Linked DNA regions of Mus musculus. The protein of the gene in region 2 purifies or fractionates together with the protein of the main gene of each other region. This does not show direct contact. Links are inferred from orthologs where the notes say so. Each region holds a gene or a part of one and is shown on either strand. Other genes may lie near its edges.

What was found. Proteins that work in one complex are often made in the same cells at the same time.
Region 1: the proteins of Chuk (region 2) and Akt1 purify together in Homo sapiens (affinity purification with western blotting; 5 studies listed by BioGRID). This does not show direct contact. The link is inferred for Mus musculus from reciprocal best matches to the Homo sapiens genes CHUK and AKT1.
Region 3: the proteins of Chuk (region 2) and Map3k7 purify together in Homo sapiens (affinity purification with western blotting; 9 studies listed by BioGRID and IntAct, with this or other methods). This does not show direct contact. The link is inferred for Mus musculus from reciprocal best matches to the Homo sapiens genes CHUK and MAP3K7.
Region 4: the proteins of Chuk (region 2) and Eif2ak2 purify together in Homo sapiens (affinity purification with western blotting; 3 studies listed by BioGRID). This does not show direct contact. The link is inferred for Mus musculus from reciprocal best matches to the Homo sapiens genes CHUK and EIF2AK2.
Region 5: the proteins of Chuk (region 2) and Pias1 purify together in Homo sapiens (affinity purification with western blotting; 3 studies listed by BioGRID). This does not show direct contact. The link is inferred for Mus musculus from reciprocal best matches to the Homo sapiens genes CHUK and PIAS1.

What each region holds. Positions count from the first base shown.
Region 1 is NC_000078.6:112,671,477-112,675,757, forward strand, and holds the start of Akt1 (RAC-alpha serine/threonine-protein kinase), read right to left. Parts: upstream 2,801-4,281; 5' UTR 2,524-2,800; intron 2,464-2,523; exon of another isoform or gene 2,230-2,463; intron 179-2,229; 5' UTR 86-178; coding exon 40-85; intron 1-39. UniProt on the Homo sapiens protein: AKT1 is one of 3 closely related serine/threonine-protein kinases (AKT1, AKT2 and AKT3) called the AKT kinase, and which regulate many processes including metabolism, proliferation, cell survival, growth and angiogenesis.
Region 2 is NC_000085.6:44,097,478-44,100,977, reverse strand, and holds part of Chuk (inhibitor of nuclear factor kappa-B kinase subunit alpha), read left to right. Parts: intron 1-758; coding exon 759-828; intron 829-2,304; coding exon 2,305-2,393; intron 2,394-3,446; coding exon 3,447-3,500.
Region 3 is NC_000070.6:31,962,753-31,966,906, reverse strand, and holds the start of Map3k7 (mitogen-activated protein kinase kinase kinase 7), read right to left. Parts: upstream 2,801-4,154; 5' UTR 2,645-2,800; coding exon 2,525-2,644; intron 1-2,524. UniProt on the Homo sapiens protein: Serine/threonine kinase which acts as an essential component of the MAP kinase signal transduction pathway. Plays an important role in the cascades of cellular responses evoked by changes in the environment.
Region 4 is NC_000083.6:78,879,661-78,883,960, forward strand, and holds the start of Eif2ak2 (interferon-induced, double-stranded RNA-activated protein kinase), read right to left. Parts: upstream 2,801-4,300; 5' UTR 2,740-2,800; exon of another isoform or gene 2,712-2,739; intron 2,422-2,711; coding exon of another isoform or gene 2,374-2,421; exon of another isoform or gene 2,224-2,373; intron 1-2,223. Other genes in the region: uncharacterized protein Gm26637, read left to right, coding at 2,374-2,421, 2,801-2,963, 3,058-3,287.
Region 5 is NC_000075.6:62,978,080-62,982,149, reverse strand, and holds the start of Pias1 (E3 SUMO-protein ligase PIAS1), read left to right. Parts: upstream 1-1,270; 5' UTR 1,271-1,278; coding exon 1,279-1,302; intron 1,303-1,622; exon of another isoform or gene 1,623-1,636; intron 1,637-4,070. UniProt on the Homo sapiens protein: Functions as an E3-type small ubiquitin-like modifier (SUMO) ligase, stabilizing the interaction between UBE2I and the substrate, and as a SUMO-tethering factor. Catalyzes sumoylation of various proteins, such as CEBPB, MRE11, MTA1, PTK2 and PML.

The sequences.
Region 1 (4,281 bases), on a different chromosome or scaffold from region 2:
CCCAGGCCGGCCTGCTTCTCCTGTGGAGTGCGGACTTACCTCGTTTGTGCAGCCAGCCCTCCTTCACAATGGCTACGTCGTTCATGGTATCCGTGGCCCCCAGAGACAGGGGTAACCCAGGGATGATGCTCAGAGTCTCTTCTCGGTAGGCTGAGCCCAGCCGGCCTGGCCGCAGCGTCTAGAAGAAGCCGAGAAAGCACGTGAGACAAGGTCCCACTTGGGACTAGCTTCCGTGAGCCCCAGAGGGCCCACAATTACCCATGTCCCCTCATGTGATCTACCCATCTCTGGTTCCCAGGTTCCCTCCTCACCCTTACTCCCTGCCAGCCTGCCTGACGTGTCTCCAAAGGTTGCTATAGAAGACCTCCCTCCAGTAGTAGATGCTACACACCCAGATCTAGGCCTGGTAGTCCGGGGTGCAAGGCTGTGGCCAACCCCCATCATCCTGGTCTCTGCTAGAAACATTCATTTCCAGAAGGCTTTTCCTGTTAGGCAGCTTGTTCAATTTGCTACCCCAGCAGATTAGGCCACCTCCTCCAGGCAGCCCTGACTGCTTCTGCTCTGCCTCGCACTAGTGAGGGGTGCTTACCACTGTCTCACCACCCCCTACAGTCTGGGAGGCCTACTGCAGGTCGCAGGGTCCCTACGGCTCACGTTAGGAACGCGGGAAGGCCAACACTGGAGAGCACAAGTAGAACAGGCACGGTATGAAGCTGAGCCCAAAGTCCTTCAGGACAACACTAAAAACTCCTCAGGCAGAACCCCAGACCCCTTGGGAACACAGCACCCTGCCTGTGAAGCTGTCCCCTTCACTTGGTGAGTACACACTAGGCACATATGGTTCTGTCGAGCCTTCACCCTACGCCTGAGACAGAGAGACTCTGAGACAGCCTGCTGGGAACACCCAAAGCAGTGGTTACGACCCACAATTACAGTATCCGGGAGCCCACAAACAGGGCAGGTAACACACAAGGGTCCTGCAGCGGCCAACTAGCTAGCCTGTGCAAAGCAAAGGGTGCCAGCTCACCTCGCAAAGATCCCCCCGCCCCCCAATTGCTTCTCTTCCAGAGGGACACCTAGGTATCCTTCAAATATCCCCAAGTCTGGACATTCTGGGAAAGTGCACCTGAACAGCCCTTGACCAGCAAGCCTGTGTTGTCCCTCCACCTGGAGTTCATGTGGACAATCCCCAGGAAAAGACTGGAAGGCCGCCGTGGAATAGATCCCAACTAGGGTCTACTACAGCTGACTGGCAACCCCCTATGTCATCTCTCTAGCCCAGAAGACACAAGCTGGCACCCAGAGTCTCTGTCACTTTGCCTTGTATGAAGCTAAATGTGGAACAAAAGGGAGGCCGGCTGCTATGTGTCAAATGCCAAATGCCAAAGTAGGAAAGACCACACCTGGCCCAAGAAGGAAAGAGCCCTTCCCTCAGCAAGCAGGTGGCGACTAAAAGCCAGAACGAAAAAGATAAGCCAAGAAGAAATCCCAGCTCAGTGACTGTCAGAGTGGGTGTGGCCTGGAGGCAGAGGGCTGTACTGCAAGATCTCTCTCGGTGGATGTCCCCTACCCCCACCCAGCCCCAAGGTCTGCTGATGACAGTCAGCTGTCCAGAGCCGTGTAAAAATAAATTCATACACACGGAGTGAAGAAACACAGCCATGTTAACGCCAATGTCCACATCAAGCCGACTTAAGCATGGGACACTCTTCCCACCATGCCATGCCGTAAGGGCATATGGTTGCTATTGTTAAGTCTTAAGAGTTCAGCCCCTCTGGGACACTGGCCCGTGAGCCACACGCCCAGCTGGGGCCCCACCAAGGCGACTCGCCCTTCACTTTAGTGATGGCTCTAGGCAGTCAAGGCTAGCCACCTGGAGCAAGACCAGGGGCCTGGGGGAAGGAGGAGTTTGGCCACACAGCAGAGGCCCAAGGTTCCACCACCGCCCAACTTAGAAACCAGTCCTCTTTAGACAATTCCATCAGCTCAGCCAGTATCCCGGATCCGGGAGACCGAGTCCACGCCGTCCTCAAGGCCCCCCCCCCCCCCGGCACCTCCAGAAACCACCTAGTCCAGGAAGCAGCTTCCGGGCCCAGGAGGGTTAGCAGTCCTTTGTGGGCTAGCCTGGGCACTGTGCCACCGCGCACAACTTTCTGTCCGTGGGAAATGAGTTCTCCTTCCCAGGGCCCTCCCACCGCACGCAGGCCGCGGGGCGAGCCTTTCTCCTACCCTCGCTGGCCGAGTGCCCGGGCAGCCCCAGGCCCCAGGGCGCACCGGCCCCCACTGCGCACACCAACAGCGCCCCTCTCCCGCGACCTGGCCCCGTGGAGCGGCCACCCAAGGTCACGCAGCGGCCGCCCGCACCCTCGCCGGCGTGGGCCTCCTGCGCGACCAGCCCGGCCCCGCGCGCTCCCCGCCCAGGCCTCCGCTCGGCCACTTCCTGCTCCTACTCCGAGGCGCGGCGCGGCCGGGAACAAAGCGGGGTGGCCGCGGCCCGGAACAGGGCGCGGCGCGGGCACTCACCGGGCCGCCGCGTGCGGGCGACTGGGCCTAGCCGGGCCGCGGCCTCGGGCGCCCGCCGCTCCGCATCCCGCGGGCGGGCGCTGGGCGGGGCCGGCTGAAGGCAGCGGCGTCCGGGCGCGCGCTGCTGGCCGGATCTGGGCCGCCGCGGTGCCGGCCACAGGACGCTGCTCGGTCCGCTCCGCTGGTCCCGGACTCGCGTGCGCTGCCGCGCTGGGCCGGCCGCCCGCCGACTCGGTGCTGCCGCCGCCGCCGCCGGCCCGCCTTCTCCCCGCCCCGCGCCCGCGCCGCCCGCCCACATCCGCCTCCGCCGCCCCGGGCGCCCCCGGCGCGGCCCGCGGCCAGGGCGAGGCACCCCGTGAGCGCGAGCGCGGCCCCGCAGGCGCCGCCCTCGGGTGGCCCCGAGCCAGGGCCACGCGGGTAACGGAGCCCCGCCGCAGATCCAGAGCTCCAGCTCTGGTCTGGGTTTCCCGGTTTGTGGGACCTGGCCCTTCCCTGCCTAGCTCTCCAGACCCCAAGGAGGGAGGCCAGCGTGGGAAGTGAATCAGTTTGACTCTCAAGAGGCCCAACTGTCCCCATCTTGGGAGCCGGGAGAGACCGGTCACCGGTGTCCTAAAGGCCAGCCAACACAAGAAAGAAGGCTATTGAGGGCTCATCCAACCCAGTACTGCCTGCCACAGCAACTGATAAGGACTCCCCAGGTGACAGGGAGGACGGGAGCACACCTGGACACCCAGAGGGGGCAGATTCAGGGGTAGGACTCAGTCAGCCAAGACCTTGCTGTGGACTCAGATGGGTGAGGCTTGGGGGGCGGTTCCTTATGGTGTCCCGGAATTGAAGAGTCAAGGTGGTTCCTGCCTCTTATCCATCCTCAGTCCTTCCCCCTTCGGCCAGCCTCAGCAGTTCCTGCGCAGGGCCCCTCCCTCGTCCCAGAAGCCCGACTTGATAGTAACCCTTTTGTGAATTTACCTTCATGTGTTTGGTATTTTTAACCAGGGGGCATTTTTTGTTTTTCATACAAGGGTCAGAGTTCACCAGGAGTGTAAACAAGAGGGTAGATTTAGTAGTCCACGCTATCGCCCAGGATGGAAATCGGAGCTCCTTCTCGGGCTCCTGGGGCTGACCTGGGAAGCACACCCCACTCCCGGAGAAGAACTCACTCTCCTCTCAGCCACGCCCCATACCCTTCAGACGGGGATGGGGATGGGGGGCTCTGTTCTGTGCCCTATCTGCTGCACAGCTGCCCCAGCTCAGAGAGCCTCCAGGGCGCTAAGTCAGAGGCTCAGCAGCAGTTCTGTTCTGCTCCAGCAGTATCCCTGACCCTGAGAGTGGCCTTCAGAGGCTGAGAGTCACACAAATATCCATCACTCGCCCAGCAAACCTTCACCCCAGGCCCCCAACTCCTCCTCTCCTACTTCCCCCATCCCGTTGCTACACAGTTAGAGCCAGCAGGGCGCCCTCTTGTGGAACACAGCAATTTCTGGCTGTTCTCTAGTGACCCTTCTCACTCGGATGCTCTTCCTGGAAGCCACTGTTGGAGACAGCTCCTACCTGTGGTGAGCCCTGTTTCTATGCAGTAACCAGTCCCGCCTCCCTTCTTTGTGTCTCTATCTTCCCCCGAGTCCGGAGTGGGTTGGGGGATAGGCGACTCCTTCTGGGTCCACACTTTGGCAACACCTCTTTGGGCCTCCTAGACAGAGCCACAAGGTGAGTAAGGTCCGCCTTACTGAGACTTGCCACTGGCCTGCTCTGCAGCCATGC
Region 2 (3,500 bases):
CTCAAATGAGGTTTCTTCTAACTTGTGCCAAGTTGGCAAAAACCTAATCACTATATACATCCTAGGTTTGTGTATGATTTTTTTTTGTTTTGTTTTTTGTTTTTGAGCAGGGTTTCATTATGGACCCCCCAGTTGACCTACTACTCACTTTGTAGACTAGGCTGGCCTTGAGATCTGTCTGCTTCTGCCTGAGTGCTGGAATTAAAGGCATGTGCCACCTTGCTTGGCCTAGAACATGCTTTTTTTAAATTGTTGTTTCCATGCTGGTCATTTTAAATAAAAGTATCAACATTTGTGGGACTTATTAAAAAGTTGTCTTTTATATTATAATCATTCTTAATATTTGATTTTAAATGTATCTCTTTGTCAGCAATTTCAATTTCGAGTGCTATTGCCCTTGTCTTTACTTATTTTATTATTATTGTTATTATTTTTCTACACTTATCTTTACTTCTTATGAGCCTTCTCATAAAATATACTCAGCCTCAGTATGGATTTCATGATTGTTTTTACCCTTATATCTCTTGTCATTGTTACAATTTTTGAAACAGACCCGTGCTGGCCTTGAACTCATGGTCCTGCCTCATCTTCCCCTGTGCTGGCCGTATAGACATGCACCACTATGCCCAGTCCTTATAATTTCTTTATTATGACTTTTTTTTTATTTGACTATTCTCTGATGGTGTAGTGATTGATGATTTTGGTGTTACTACTCAGCAATAGTAGACTTGTTTTTTCCTTTTTCCTTTTTCCTTTAGCTACTCAACAAACCAGAAAATTGTTGTGGACTTAAAGAAAGCCAGATACTTTCTTTACTGAGTGACATAGGTATGTAACTAATATTAAACTATCATTGCGATTTAATGCCCCTTTGGTACACAGAAACTTCTGTGTGCTGCTTAGAAGCGAAGGAGAACTGTTTATATACTCTACAAAGCATAAGGATTTTTATCATCTCTAAAAAATTAGAAATATCCATTTCTTATGATGCTAATGAAAACTAGTGCATTCTGGCATTTGTTTCTATATGAGGGGGTTTTGTTTGTTTGGTTTTGGCTGTGTACCGCTGTCTAATAGATGTTCCAGTGATAACAAAAGTGGTATAAAACAGCATTCATTTCATCCCCTCTCCCACCTTCCCCCAACACTGACGTAGTAGTAGTTTTGTTTATAGAGGAATTACATCTTTAGGAGGATAGGTCCTCAAGTTACCTTGAGATGAATTACTACTGAAAAAAATCCCTAAAATAACCATGATCTAGACCTTTAATGAAACCTCAAAAACCAAGAATTAATTTCCCTGTGTGTTTTGGTGTTGCTTCTTTTCCTGGGTCATGGGCAGTAAAGTCTAGTTAAGAATGTGATTTAGGGGTTACAGCTATTCCTCAAAAATTGATCATTCCATTTGCTTTTAATGTTGATTCCAATAAATGAGTATATATTATAATTTTTTAGTGTTTATTTGATGTTATTGAACTTCTGGTGAAGAAAATCTGAACTACTCTAATGATGATGCAGCTGTGATAGATCGTATAAATGTGGGAGGATGTGGTGTGTTGTGGTATGTGTGGTACATGAGGTCTTGAGGTACGTGTGTGGCACATGAGAGTGATTGTTGGTGCACACTCAGAGGAGCATGCATCTGGAGGCAAGGGCAGGATGGCAAGTGTTCTTGTTTTCTTAACTTGATTGTTTTGAGACAGGGACTCTGACTGAACTGGAAGCCCCATGTTCTGACTAAGCTGGCTGACCAACCAGCTTGAGGTTTGCCTCTCCCCACTTTTAACCCTCTGGGGTTATTGTTACACAAAGTCATACTTGACTATTTTATGTGAGTGGCAGGGGTTTGAACTCAGGTCCTCGGGCTTTCACAGCACTGGCTTTGATCCATTGAGCCATCTCCATGGGCATAATTTTTGCACCAGTATTATAGATCTATAGAAAATGTGAGCTAAAAACTGACTGTAGCTAGACATACCTTTTATTCCAACATTGGGAGACAGAGGTAGAAGTTCTCTGTGAGATCAAGACCAGCAGGCCAGCCAGGGCTATATAGTGAGACCCTGTCTAAAAGAAAGTTGATTGATTGAAAGCTGTAGGCTGATTGATGCCTACAATCCCAGCACTTGGGAGATAGAACAAGAGGATAAAGAATTGGAAGGGATCCTGTGCTACATAGGGATTCCATGCCAGACAGCACATGGGACTTGGTCTCAAAACACTAGCAACAAAAACAAAATGTGATGTGATTTTTTTTAAACAGTATTTTCTGTTACTTCACAATACACTTCAAATTTTATTTAGGATCTGGGATCCGATATCTGCATGAAAACAAAATTATACATCGAGATCTAAAACCTGAAAATATAGTTCTTCAAGATGTTGGTGGGAAGGTAGGTGAACCCTGGAGAATGTTCATGCTTATTGTTATAGTCTCCCTGATATATTAAGTCCTTAGAGACTTTAGTGCCCTTATTAATTATATACACATAGTACTTTATAATTTTTCTATTGCAGTTTTCACTGACTTAAACTGTAGTTTTTTAATTCTGGATTTATTATTGTTGTTCTAGATATATTGTTGTTGCTGCTGTTGTTGTTATTTTATGTGTATGTGGGCCACATGTGGTGCTTGTGGAGGACACAAGAAGAGGGCATCAGAGTCCGTGGGTCTAGAATTACAGTGGCTGTGAGCCATTAGTGAGTGATTGGAATTGAACTCGAGTTCTCTATAAGAGCAACAGGTGCTCGTAACTGCTTGGCCAACTGTCCAGCCCCTGAACTGTAGCTTTGTGGTTAGTTTTTCTTCTCTATGGAACAGTGGCTCCTTAGAGAAGCATCTGTCTTGCTCATGAAACTGCTAGAGATTAAATAACTTTATCAAGGTTATATGGTTAGCCAGGCATATTACCTGACATTTGTGATAACAACTTTTGGGAGGTTGAGGCAGGAGGGTTGATTTAAGTTTGATACCAACTTGTGTTACAGAGTGAGACCCTGTCTCAAAAATTAGCAGAAAGATTAACGTCTAAACAGTGGTCAGACTGTCAGACTTAGCACTTGTGTTGTCTCAGAGCCCAGCTTCTTTGCCATCATCTCTCCGGTTTGTAAAAACATTGGTACCTTTTTTTAAAATTATAATTATGTTATTTTGTGCGCATGCATGCATGCATGTGCTGTAACTTGTATTCAGGTAACAGGACAACCTGCAGGAATTAGTTCTCCTCCTCTCATATGGAACCTGGGGTTCAAACTCAGGTCATCAGACTTGGTATCAGGCGCCTCTATCAGCCGAGCCCTCTCAGTGGCTCACCTTTTTATTTTTTGCTGTGCTTAGACCCTTATACATGCAATGGGAGCAATCTGTCACTAAACTACATCCCCAACCTACCTTCCTTTACAGATATTTCAACAATTTAATACATAGTATGTCTTATTATTCACAGACAATACATAAAATAATTGATTTGGGTTATGCCAAAGATGTTGATCAAGGAAGT
Region 3 (4,154 bases), on a different chromosome or scaffold from region 2:
TTGGAAACAAGGTATTTTATTTTTACAACAGGAATAGATTTCTAATAATTTTGTCTAATCTATCAATTTAAGAGAGATATCACAGGTCTCCAAATTGAATGACCTGACTCCATATATTCTGACACAATGCAGCATCTAATTTTCTAAATCTGAGTACATTTTCCACCAAACCATCCAATCCTGAAAGTGTCTAGTCTATGTCCTGACTCTCTTCACTGACGTACAGAAGGTTAAAAACTGAATGACTTATAAAAATTAAGTACTCATGTAGATTTCTTAGGCAGAAAACTAATATAATCTGACATGAAAGTGAAGAGCCACAGTACTCTGATACTGCAATGATGGAAACATCTGCTGTCTTAGAAATGTGTATCTACGAAATGATTCCCCATCTGCCTGGAGTTAGATGTTTTCCTGCCACAGCTTCTAATTATCTTTGTGTAGTGCTGAGTCCATTATATTATGGGTTGAGAAATAAATAATGTGGTTCTCTCGACTTACTGTTTCGCTTTCTGTGGTGCTAGGATTGGAGCCTGAGCCTCAAGCACAGAGGGCAAGAACTTCAATACTGGGTTATACACCAAGCCATTCTTTTCTTAATTGATAGGGCTATGATATACTTGTCCATATAAAACACTGAAGGCATGTGAGATAGTTTTCATGTTGGGTCATCTTTCTGTTTTCCTATTTATGATTTAAACTAGAGATGGAATGTAAGTTGAAATAGTTTGAGTGCCCATGATGCACCTCTGACTGCACAATCTCTTTAATGTGCTCACAGGAAGACTATAATGGAAATTATGTAATGGTTTTGACATCAGAAAGGCCTGAATTAAATCGGGACTATAAAAATAAACTAGGTTCTAAGACGAAACAAATTTCAAAAATGTACCAGCTTTGGATTGAGGGCTTCAAATTGATTATTGTCTCCCTTAGCAACTTGCAGGCCCCAATGAGGCAAGAATGTGAAAGCTTTAAAAAGTTGTGTGCAAAAAACTAAGGCTGCAAAAATCAAACAAAGTAAGCTCGTGGAAATATGTGGTAGACCATGAAGTACAAGTTATTATTATATAACAATTTGTAGTCTACAAGGACAGCAATTCATGAGAGTACACGTAAATGCTTATTTAAAAGCTGCGATTCTTGTATACTGACTCACTGAAGTTTTAGTCTTAAAAAAGAATGTTATCCATGAAAGCTGGACCAACTACCCGCTTCTGAAAAAAGGAATTTATCTTAGCTTCAATGGGGGTGGGGGGGACATATAAAATGTTTTCCTCTTCAAAAACAGGCCTTCTTTTAGCATATGACCTTAAAGCAGGTCACCCTTCCTGTCTGGAACTTTGCTTCCTAACAATATGTCAGGCACTATATTGGATTTTCTGCACACACTGCTTAACTGGATTTGTCACACTGATAAAGTAGCAATCACTCCCATCTTACAGTTAAGGAAACGAACACACAGAAAGCAGTAGGAAACCAAGTCCCACAGTGCTCTGTCTATCTCTGAAGCGTCTTCCTCTGTCTCAAACCTTCCCCTATCCAGCACACTTTTTCTAAGATAATCATGCTCTCAATGAACACACTCATCTCTGGTTAGTTTTTGTGATACAAAGATATGACTTAGTAGTCCTCTAAGGTAAAGATGTATTTATTGATTGTTAATTTGCTTGCATCTTTTAACTCCTTACTATAATACTTTAAAAATGAAGAAAAGACAACTCAGTCTAGCTATAAAAAACCCACACATTAAGGCACAGAAAATGCACAGTGCTCTTAAAAAACGGTTAAACTCATAGAAACTGCGTGAACGCGTTTCTAACCAAAGCTTCAACGAGTTCTAAACGGCATTTTGAATATATGTACAGATTTTTTCCTCTTCAGTAAATATTAAGACTCTTAGAAGTCACTGGCCCCACTGTGAATCTGAAAATAGGCGATGAAGTGAAGACACTCTTCCACCTGAACATTGAATTTATTCGGTTTTTCTAACAGCGATTTCTGGTGTAGCGTAATATTCTGACTGTCACCATAATCACTACTTGCCTCTTCAGACTATGCTACTTGAAACATGTTTTCATAACAGACTTAACGTTACTAGAGATTGAAATTCATCTACAGAGCCCAATAGAAGGTAGAACTACCTACGGTATCAGAGAAAGAAGAATCCGGGACCAGGGGAAGCACCGTGAGACGTTCGACGTTCTCTTTACCAGCCTGTCCCAAGCATCCTTTCGTGTCACACACTGCGCTAGAAGTCACACAGACAGACAAGACAGACATACAGACAGACAGACAGACACACACACACACACTATCCTGGACTCTAACACCACTACCAGCGAGCTGAAATCCCGCGGCCACCAAACTTTGCTCAATCTATTTACGGATAATTGAACTGCCGACCACATAAGAATCAGGTAGAGAATCACAGATTCAGACTCAACCCCCGAAGCCCATGGGGAAGCCGCCTCCCGCCCGGGATCCCAGGCGGCGCGGGGCAGCAGGTCTCGGCCTCGCTCACCTCTTCCACCTCGATCTCCTTGTAGTCGATCTCTTCGAAGTTCAGGACCTGCGACGGCGCTTCGATCATCTCACTGGCAGAAGACGAGGAGGAGGACGAGGCGGCGGAGGCTGTCGACATGATCCCCCGCGGCGCCCGGGGGGCCGCGCCCGCCCTCCGGCTCGCGCAGCGCCCTTCAGCCCGGAGCCCCGCAGCCCCGCCGCCCGGCGCTCCGTGGCGCGGGACCGACCCGGGCCACCGCCGAGTCCCGGCTTCGGCTCCTCAGCGCTTTCCGTCGCCGGGCCCCGCCCACCACACTTCCAGTTCCGGTTTGAACTCGGAACTGGGAGGGAGGAGGCGCGCCTGCCGGACCCGAGCGGGGAATTTCCTGACCCGGGGAGCGAGTGAGGGAGAAGCCGGGGTAGGGGCGGAGTGGAGGAGGGCGAGCGCGGAGCCGTGGGCCCGAGGAACAGGTTTCGCGAGACTTTTGCGAAAGGGCCTCGGCGGCAGGAGGATACCGCGAGACTGGACGCCGTGACGTAGTAAATGTGCGCGATCGGAACTGGCGCGGAGCGAGCCCGAAGGCGGACCGGTTGGTCCTGCGGGATCCAGCGGGAAAGATGAACTCCGTCGCTTTCTGCCTGTTTCTTTTGAGCCGCGTCGTGCCTTCCCCTGCTCTGTGCTGGGCGGTCTGCGGTCAGGCAGCCTAGGGTTTGTCTTGTGCTCATTGGGCACCTCTTCATGTCGGGTTTTCAGCCGTGAGCCCGTTACTTTTTTAAGCGGAACCCCGAGCTGGCGAGGGGGTTCGGGAGCAGCGGTTAGCGCGCGCCATCGGGGGGAGCACCGTGACGCGTGAGCGCTCACTAATGGAAGTTAGCATCGTAGAGAGACACCAGTGGCGTTTTACACACTTCCTAAGGCAGTTCAGATGGCTTCGCTTTGTCACCTTCCCGAGGCTGTCGTCCACAACAGCCCCGAGGGTTTGGTTTGAGAATCCGTGGACACACCAAGACGACGGATTTTAAGAGGAGCCACTATGCCTCAGAGCTATAAGGAGAGTCACGCTTCATTGTCCTTAATGTTTATGTACAGCATTTTGGCGACCTTTGAGGACATTGTCTTTGAAGGACTAATGTCTCTGAAGGATTGTTGAGTTTAAGGGAGATCATAGGGTGGTTCCTGAAGACTACCCAACAAGATTAGGATTGCTACGGTAAAGCCCCATATTCCGGGGTTACTAGAGTTAAGATAACTTAATTGGAAACAAAGTTAATAGTCTAATGTCTAGGAAAGGACGAAGGGCACAGGCTTGAACCTTAGGCAAAGATCCACTGCTAGTTTAACCTAAGATACCTTTATAGGAAGGAATGTTGCCTTTGTGTCGGCAGTCTTCATAGCAAATGTTGGTTGTACTGAGATTATTTATTTATTTATTTTTAACCCGATGAGGAGTTTCAACTTCGAATAAGGGGCACCTTTCCCTATTTATGGTCTCATAGCTTTTCCTTTCCTGCCTTTAATGCTAGTGCTGTATGCTTACTAAATACTCAGCAGTAGCATGGCAATTCAAGTTTGAGTGTCACAAGTTAGGTCAGAGAACCCCAAGATGGAAGGTATTGCCCATGTTGTATGACCAACACGATTTTAAATT
Region 4 (4,300 bases), on a different chromosome or scaffold from region 2:
ACAGAGAAATAGCCAAAGAGGTGAAATGTCCCCAGGAGAAAGGAAGCGAACTGTTTCTGGGTATGGTTACATTAGACCTGATGTAATATTATACAGTGTGTACTTATTATCAAAATATCACCTACGCCTAATCTGGACATTTTTGTTTCTACATATCTGTTTAAAAATGAATTGGTACATTTAAGACATTAGGCTCAGTGGGTTTGGAGACAGCTTCATTGGTAGAGGGCTTGTGTAGCCTACACAAAGCCCCACATTTGATCCTCACCGCCTTATGAAATGTAATTTTACTTTTTAAATTTTAAGCACGATTCTTCACCTGTGGGCTGTGACCCCTTTCACAGAGGTCACATATCAGATATTTACAGTGTAATTCAGAACAACAAAATTGCAGTTAAGGAGTAGCATCAAAATAATATGGTTGAGGTCAGCACAACGTGCGGGTGTTAAGGGGAAGGTTGAGGACCACTGCTTTAAAAGCATCTGGAGCCTCTACAAGTCACCAAGACTGCTGTTGCGAGAGTCCCAGGGGCTCATTCATTGTCAAATCCAATAGTCCAATTTCGGTCACTTGTTCCCGCCTCAACTCCCCACCCCCATTAGCTTAGGTTTCTGTGGGTCTCCTCTGTTCTCACAAGCTGGGCCTTCTCTGCCTCCTTCCCTGGCTCCTCCTCATCTTCTTTTCATCCAGAGACCCAGTCCTCAAGTCTCTTCCTGCTCTGTACTTAGCGTCTCTCCTGATGATCACCTCCAGGCTGTGACCTTACATTCTACCTACAGAGTGATGGTTTTCACCAGGGTTGGCAAGATGGATCAGCAGGTGAAGCAGCCTGCTGCAAAGACTGACCATCTGAGTTCAATCCCTGGGACCTACGTAGTTGTCCTGTGACCTAGACGGGCTCCCTGAAGCACATGTGAACACACATACATACACACACGCTCACATACAAATAATAGAAAAACATAAAACTAAATAAGTAAATGTACAGCTGGAAAGATGACCCAGCAGTTAACGGCACCGCTGCGCTTCCAGAGAATCCAAGTGTGGTTCTCAGCATGGCAGGCAGCTCAAACCTCTTTGTAATTCTAGCTTCTGGGGATCCGGCACCTTCCCTGGCCTCCAAGGGAATTGCATTCCTATGCACACACTCATACACAGATACATAATTAAAAATAAAAAGTAAATAAATTATTTTTTAGAAAGATTTATTTACTTTTTATGAATGTGAGTACAGTGTCTGTTACTCTCTTCAGACACACCACAAGAGGGCATCCGTCCCATTACAGATGGTTGGGACCCACCATGTGGTTGCTGGGAACTGGACTCAGATCTTCTGGAAGAGTGGTCAGCGCTCTTAACCGCTGAGCCATCTCTTCAGCCCCCAATAAATTCTTTTTAAAAATCAATATAACAGTTGTAACTGAAAAAGGAATGAAGGTACCAGAACTATAATAAGGGCTTGGTACAAATGAATGAATAAGTCCACTGGGGAATGAATGGCTAGGTACGGTCCAATCCATGCTCCCAGGAGTTGGAACCCTTTGTCTAGGGAGCAATTTTATTCACCTCTCAGGATGGGCTGGCCTTCTGTGATGCTGCAGGGGCAACTAGAATCACTCCACCTCACCACTGTATTGACAGGTGGGATTCCTATAAAGGAATCAGGATGCTTACCAGGAAGCTGCTCTCAGCTCTCAGTCGCTCACCCAAAGAGCAGCCCATCACATGCACCAACAAATGCCACCTGCTTGTCTCACCTATATCCTGAAGACCCTGATCTTTCTCCTTCCTGAAGACTGTAGGACCCCAGAAGGCTGAGCCCCTCCAGTCGCTGCTTCCCATACAACATGCATTCAGCTAGTATATGATATATAAAGGAGCAAGCTGCACACAGTGTTTGGGTCCCTCCAGGGCCGCAGGGCAAGCTGAAAAACAAGCACACACTCTGCCCTGAGAGTGTCTTTAACTCCAGGGGGCAAGGCACGGTTAGTACTAAAGGTGCAACAGGGAATCCCGTTTCTCTAGAATTCAAGGTTATTTATGAATTACCATCCACTTAACATACATGGAACGAGCACCTGTCAGGGATCAGGTGCTAGGCTTATACAAGCCAATGAAAACTGCTCTTGGGATCTTACTGGTAGAAGGAAAAAGACTAATTCTAGTACTAAGTACTAGTTGGAAGATTGAGAAAAATATGGGGCAGGGGACGGGGGGCGCTGGCTATGAGGGCAGAGTGGAGTTTCTAGCTTAGGGAAGGTAATTCATATCATTGGCTCTGTGAAAAGGACTGGATAGACAGATCTGCCCAGGAAGTCACTTGGGGGTGGGGTGAGGTGGAAAGGGCTTTCCAGGAAGTAGAAACAGGCAGCATGAAGGCAGGAGTTGGAGGGTATTTGGCTGTGGCCCAGAACCACCAAGTAAGTCTGAAAGTGGTGGGCACTGGGCGGGGGAGTTGGGAGAAGAAGGGGGAAGGGGAGGGGGAGGCGCGGGGGGGGGGGTTGCCTGACCATAGCGGCTGGTGGAGGATGGAGCAGGACCCGCTTGTCACAAAGGACAGCTAATTGGAATGCCATGACTGTGCAGCACAAAGTCTTGGCGCAGAATTCAGTCTCTGGGTCATTCAGGCTTCTAGAGTTCCCTCCAGAGTTTTAAGTCATTGGGCTTGTCATTTTCCTTCTGGGTCCCTTTTCCTGCAACCGCTATCCAGGAGTGGGAAAATAGCCCTCAGGTCTTACCAAAGTTTCTGGATCCGGACAGTGGCTCGCTCCCTGGAGCAGGATTCGAATTGTACTTCAGGTGCAGGCTCTGAAATCTATTCGCCCTCCGTTCCCTGCCGCTGCTGCTGCCCATGGAAGTCCGGGCCTGGCCGGTTCTCTTCTGTTTCGTTTTCCCGGCGGACTCCGCCTTCCCACACTGCTCTGGGCCCCTCCCGCACCGGCTCGCACCCGCGAGAAGTCAGGTAGGCGTGTCGCCTCTGTACCCCAGCGCGGGAGCCAAGGTCCGGGCCCGCCTCCCCTCTCCTGTGCAACTGCAGTAACTGCCAGCTTCTCCAGGTTTCGGACACTTCCTGGCTTCCATTCTGGGAAAGCTCTGCAGGAAGAAGAAGGAGAAACCCAAGCCTCCTGCTCCTGGATCAATGATCACAATCTACTTTTCAAAACAAACTTTGAGGAAGCAACTGGGCACATGGATGCTACCGAATTCCGATGTGCAGTGGGAGATACTGAGTAACTCGCCTCTCAGAGGGTCCAGCCAAGCTATGTCTGTGACAATTGAAGTCCAGGTTTGTAAACGTTAGTCTCCTTCCCCTTTCACACTGCCATGCCAAGGAGGACATAGCCATCTTGACAACATTGGCCAGAGGGTTGAAGAATTCTCTCTTAAATCTATTTGTCCAGCCCTCAGCAGTTACCTGCTAGCCCCTTGTTGCATATCACTCACCAGGCCAGGCCCCTGTTAAGATCCACCTGCTCCCAGAAAGGCCACAAGGAATGTTTTATCACAAGGCCAACACCAGCAGTCCCTGCTTAATAAGGAACCTTGCCTGAGCTGGAGAGATGGCTCAGCAGGTAAAAGCACTGACTGCTCTTCCAGAGGTCCTGAGTTCAATTCCCAGCAACCACATGGTGGCTCACAACCATCTGTAATGGGATCCGATGCCCTCTTCTGGTGTGTCTGAAGACAGCTATAGTGAACTCGTATACGGGTTAAAACAAAATTAAAAAAAAAAAAAGAAAAGAAAAGCAATCCTACCTTCCTGTAAGACTGTAACACACTCCCATAATGGAACTTGCTGGCCCAGGACTTGAGGGTTTAGCTTGTGGCACACTGCCCAGTGACACATCTTCATGCCTGCACTCTGAGCTGAGCACCATCCCTATGAGGAGAACTCAGGAGCTAGAATTAGAACCGGGAAATTGTACTCCCAACATGGCAACTGGTGAGAGATGGAAAAGTCCCAAGACAGAGCCCCCAATTTCACAGTCAACATTGCTGTGCCCACTCCTTTCTTCTTCCTTTCCTGTAAGGTAGGAGAACAACAGCCTAACTTTTCTTGTAGCGTGGATCCTGGGTGTAATTTGAGGTCTCTAATGTGAAAAGCCCGTGACCAGATCAGCCTCGATAAACTCCCGCTCCCTACTATAGCACCTTAAATGAACACCCGACTACCTAGGGAGAAGCTGACAGCGAGATCTCTGCAGACATTTCTCTACTGAACATTCACAATGGATGCCATTCTGCTCACTCTACCTATTCCATTCTAGGTGGTTTACTCTTGGCATTTCCAAAGACCCA
Region 5 (4,070 bases), on a different chromosome or scaffold from region 2:
GGGCAGGCAGTGGAGCTGCCTCAGGATAGGTTTGGAGGTAATGCCACTGAAGAAATGGGAACAAGTACTTGTAGAAAAATGAAGTCTTGTTTGTGAATTTATTCAGTGAAGAAAGCGGAGAAATAGAGTACCCATTGAAGGTAATTTTGGATCCAGAGGAAGCATAAATTTAAGTAAGGAATTTTGGTTATGTTTATATGCTGATGAAAATGATTCCTTGAAGAAAGGGGGTTGGAACTATAAAGATACTGGAGTAAAACATGTGGGCATGTGGGAGTGAAATAATCCAGGTCACTGGTCAGGACCTGGCCTTCTTGAATTCAGAGTAACCCAAATGTTAAGAGGATTTTGATAGTAAAAAGTTGATCAGTTAAAAAAGGCTGGGGTTTTGAAGGAAGCTTTTAGTAGATAGGAGTAAGTCTAAATATCAATGTAGGTGAAGAAAACCCTTCTGGGATTAAGCACACCCCACCCCCCCCAATCCATTTTTCTCTTGGTGAGCCTTTTAATCTCTATGCTGTTCATCACCATTAGTAATTATATCTTAATAGTTCACAGATCTGTACCCCATGAGCGACAGGTCAGGGATCTTCTCTAATTTCTGACTACCCAGGGTGACGCGATGAATAAATGTCTTCAGAATTTGCCTTAGCTACTACTGTTAAATGCTGTTTAGGAGAGTCCCTTTTTCCCCTCAGAGCTTTTATTTCGGAAAAGATACCATGGGAATGATATATATATATATATATATATTTTTTTTTTTTTTTCTTTTTTGGCCTAACTGCCTCATCATGAGGATCTGCGTAAACCCAGAAACGCTTCGTCAAATTCTCCTTAGACAAAACTGACTAATTGGCTAGTTGTGATCGACCGGCAGCTGGGTAGGGTACAGGTGCAGAACGCATCTTGCGCATGGGGGCGCGCCGTGGCTTCAGTCAACTGGGGCTCAGAGGGCAGCCGAAGGATGAGACTGAGGCCAACACCTCCCCAGATGTGGCCTCTTCCCTGGGCGCTACTGGCTCGGCCAGTGTGGGGGCGGGGAGGCCGAGGGGGTAGTAACTGTCAAACTCCCGCTTGGCGCCATTATTTAAATAGTGCGTGTGGGTCTCGCAGCTGTGCGTGCCCGGGGCGGGGCAGCGAGCTCCTGGAGTGGGGCGGAGGCCAGGGGCGGAGCGGGAAGGCTGAGGGGCGGGGTGGAGGCGGAGTCAAGTCCGCTAGAGGGGAGGTTCCAGCGCGGCCCCCGGCGAGCTTCATTGCGCTTGCGCTGACAGACGCAAGATGGCGGACAGTGCGGAACTAAAGGTAAAGCGCAGCTCGAATTCACTTCTAATATTCGGCCGCGGAGACGGCGCCGCGGCTGCCGGGGGGATGGGTCGGACCCTGGGGGGCCCGCTCGGGCCGGGCTCCACCCGAGTCTGGAGTTGTAGGCGGGAGAGGCGCTCCGGGCCTTAGTGGAGGGGGCCTGGCTGCGGCGGGCCGTGGGCCCCGGGTGCCTCGGGGGCGCTGACGGGTCGTCCCCGGCGTGTTATTGTTGTGGGCGCCTCTGGCGGGGGTGGCGGGGCGAAGAGAGAGTGAGTCGGGACGTGGCGGCAGCGGCGGTCCCCGGGGCCTGGGTGCCTTACCTTGCAGCCCGCCTCCCCCCCCCCCCCCCATGGGCAGCCAGGGGGTGGGGGGGTGTAGGCTGCTCTGGGAAGAGGGGGATCGGGAAAACTGCCCCGCTGCCGCTTCCTCTTCCTCTTTCGCCGTCCCGGGCTCCTGTCAGGCGCAGCGCTCGGACCCCCGGGAACTTGGCTCCGGCCGCCCCGCCCCTCCGCGGCGCCCAGGCGCCCCCGCCTCGCTTGCCGCCGCTGCCCGCCCGCCTGTCAATGGGTGCCCGGCCAGAGGGAATGCGCGATCCCGGGGCAATCGGCTAGGGAATACGAGGGAGAAGCTCTTGGAAAGTTTAGCGAGCCCGGAGCCGGCGTTGGGGGTTCGGCTAAAGGGTTGCAGGGGGAGTCTGCCCGGGCGGGACGTTACTGTTTCTCTCTTGATTTCGGGCCACCGGGGAGGGTGTGTGTGTGGTGGTGGGGAGCAACCCATTGAAAGAGTGTGCTTTTGGGAGCGGTGGTGGGGATGCAGCCACCTCTCTGCACTCTTGCTGTCTCTGGTGTGGCAGATGAGAGCAGCCTTGGGGGTCTCTAAACACACCATGATGGCGATGCTATAGCTGATGGAGGTGAATGGTTCGTGTTTATATCCCCCGTTGCCTTTTGTTTGTTAGGGACATCTTGCTGGCCATGTTGATTTAAACGAAATTCTCCTCCCACCCACCCCCCATCCCACCCCAACCTCCAATAAATAGAACGTTCCATCGTTCCTCTCAACTGTACCAATTACTCATGCCTCGCGAAATTAGATGAAAGGGTGCCCCCTTTCCCCCGCTTTTTCTCCCACCCCAATCTTTACCTGATGATGGCTCCTTTACTGAAGCACATATACCACTACACAAGCAGTTGGGGGAGGGCTGGTGGAACCCTTATGATTGGATTGTGACAAATGGGTCTCTGCTTGAATAATTCTGGTTTAGTAGCAGGCAGGCAGTTCTTAACTAACGCATATTATTTAGAGGCTCTGAACATGGTATTCCCTTCTCTGGCTTCCTGTGTGCGAACCAAACAGCTGGTTATAGCACATCTCTGTCAGAGTGGAGATTGGGCTATGCAATTATAAATCCTCAGGGAGATTTAGAAATTCTTTTTATAATCAATAAAAAAAATTATTATTTTCCCCATTATAATGAAATAACTTCTAAAACAAGCAGACCACTACCTGTGTTTCTGGACACTTTTCTTTCCGTGCACCTGTGTGTGTGTGTGTGTGTGTGTGTGTGTAAAAGCCTCACTGGAAGATCTTTTTTTCCTTAGTAACTTTGGAGTGTTAACATATCAAGATTTTTGTACAAGATTTGGGTATTTGTTTTTTTTAAGTTTACTTCTAATTACTAACTTGTTTAAGACAGAAAATCTTAATGGATAGCGCCCCCCCCCCCTTTTTTTTTAAGACAGAGGTTTGCTATGTTGCTGAGGTTGGTCTGGAACTCACTGTGTAGACAGACCATACAGGCTTTAAACTTCAGGGATCCTCTAGCCTCTGCCTCCTTAGTGCTAGGATTAAAGGGATTAAAGGCATTCACCACCATTCCTGACTTGGATAGTTTTTTTTATCCCAATTTCAGACTATTGATTTCACCAAGAAAGCCTCTGAAATTTAACATTTTGGAGACAACCACCTTGCATAAAAACAAACGAACAAAAAACCCCAGAGCTCAAGTATGTGTATTTTATGTAATTATTTTTCTGTCACTATGTTACTGTCATCTTTTATTTTTGATTTTGTTTTGAGGCAGGGTTTCTCTCTGTGTAGCCCTGGCTGTCCTGGAACTCACTCTATAGAACAGACTGGCCTCAAACTCAGAACTCAGAGATCTGCCTGCCTCCTGCTTCCCAAGTGCTGGGATTAAAAGCATGTGCCACCCCCATCCTCTTCAGAGTTGCTGCTGTCTTATCTTTGCTTCCTAATACTTTTTAGGAGTCAATTTGAAAAATAGCTGGCCAAGTTTTTTATACATGGACCATGTAGTAAGGCTTGAAAACCATATGGGAAAAGTACCTGCAAAGAACAGAGTACCTTTGTTGTTTCTATTTTAAGAAAGTGCCTTCGGGGCCAGGCATAGTGGCCCCATACCTTTAATCCCAGCCTTTGGGAGGCAGAGGCAGGTGAATCTCTTTTTGAGGATCAGCTGATCTACAGAGTGAGTTCCAGGATAGGCAGAGCTACTTAGTAAGATCATGTCTTGATAAAATAAAGAAATAGAATAAAGAAAAAGGAAAAAGAAAGAAGAGTGCCTTTGGGGATAGATGAGATTCCTGGTGTGAGTCTTGTTAGGTAAAGTTTACTCTTTACAGAAATGAGTCAGTATCACACAGACTCTGAACACTTAATGGAAATGGTATTTTTCTAAAACTGGTCTCCATTTTTTCACCCTCTCTAAAAGCTACTTGAAATTTCCAGAGGGTTTGTTTTCCACTCTT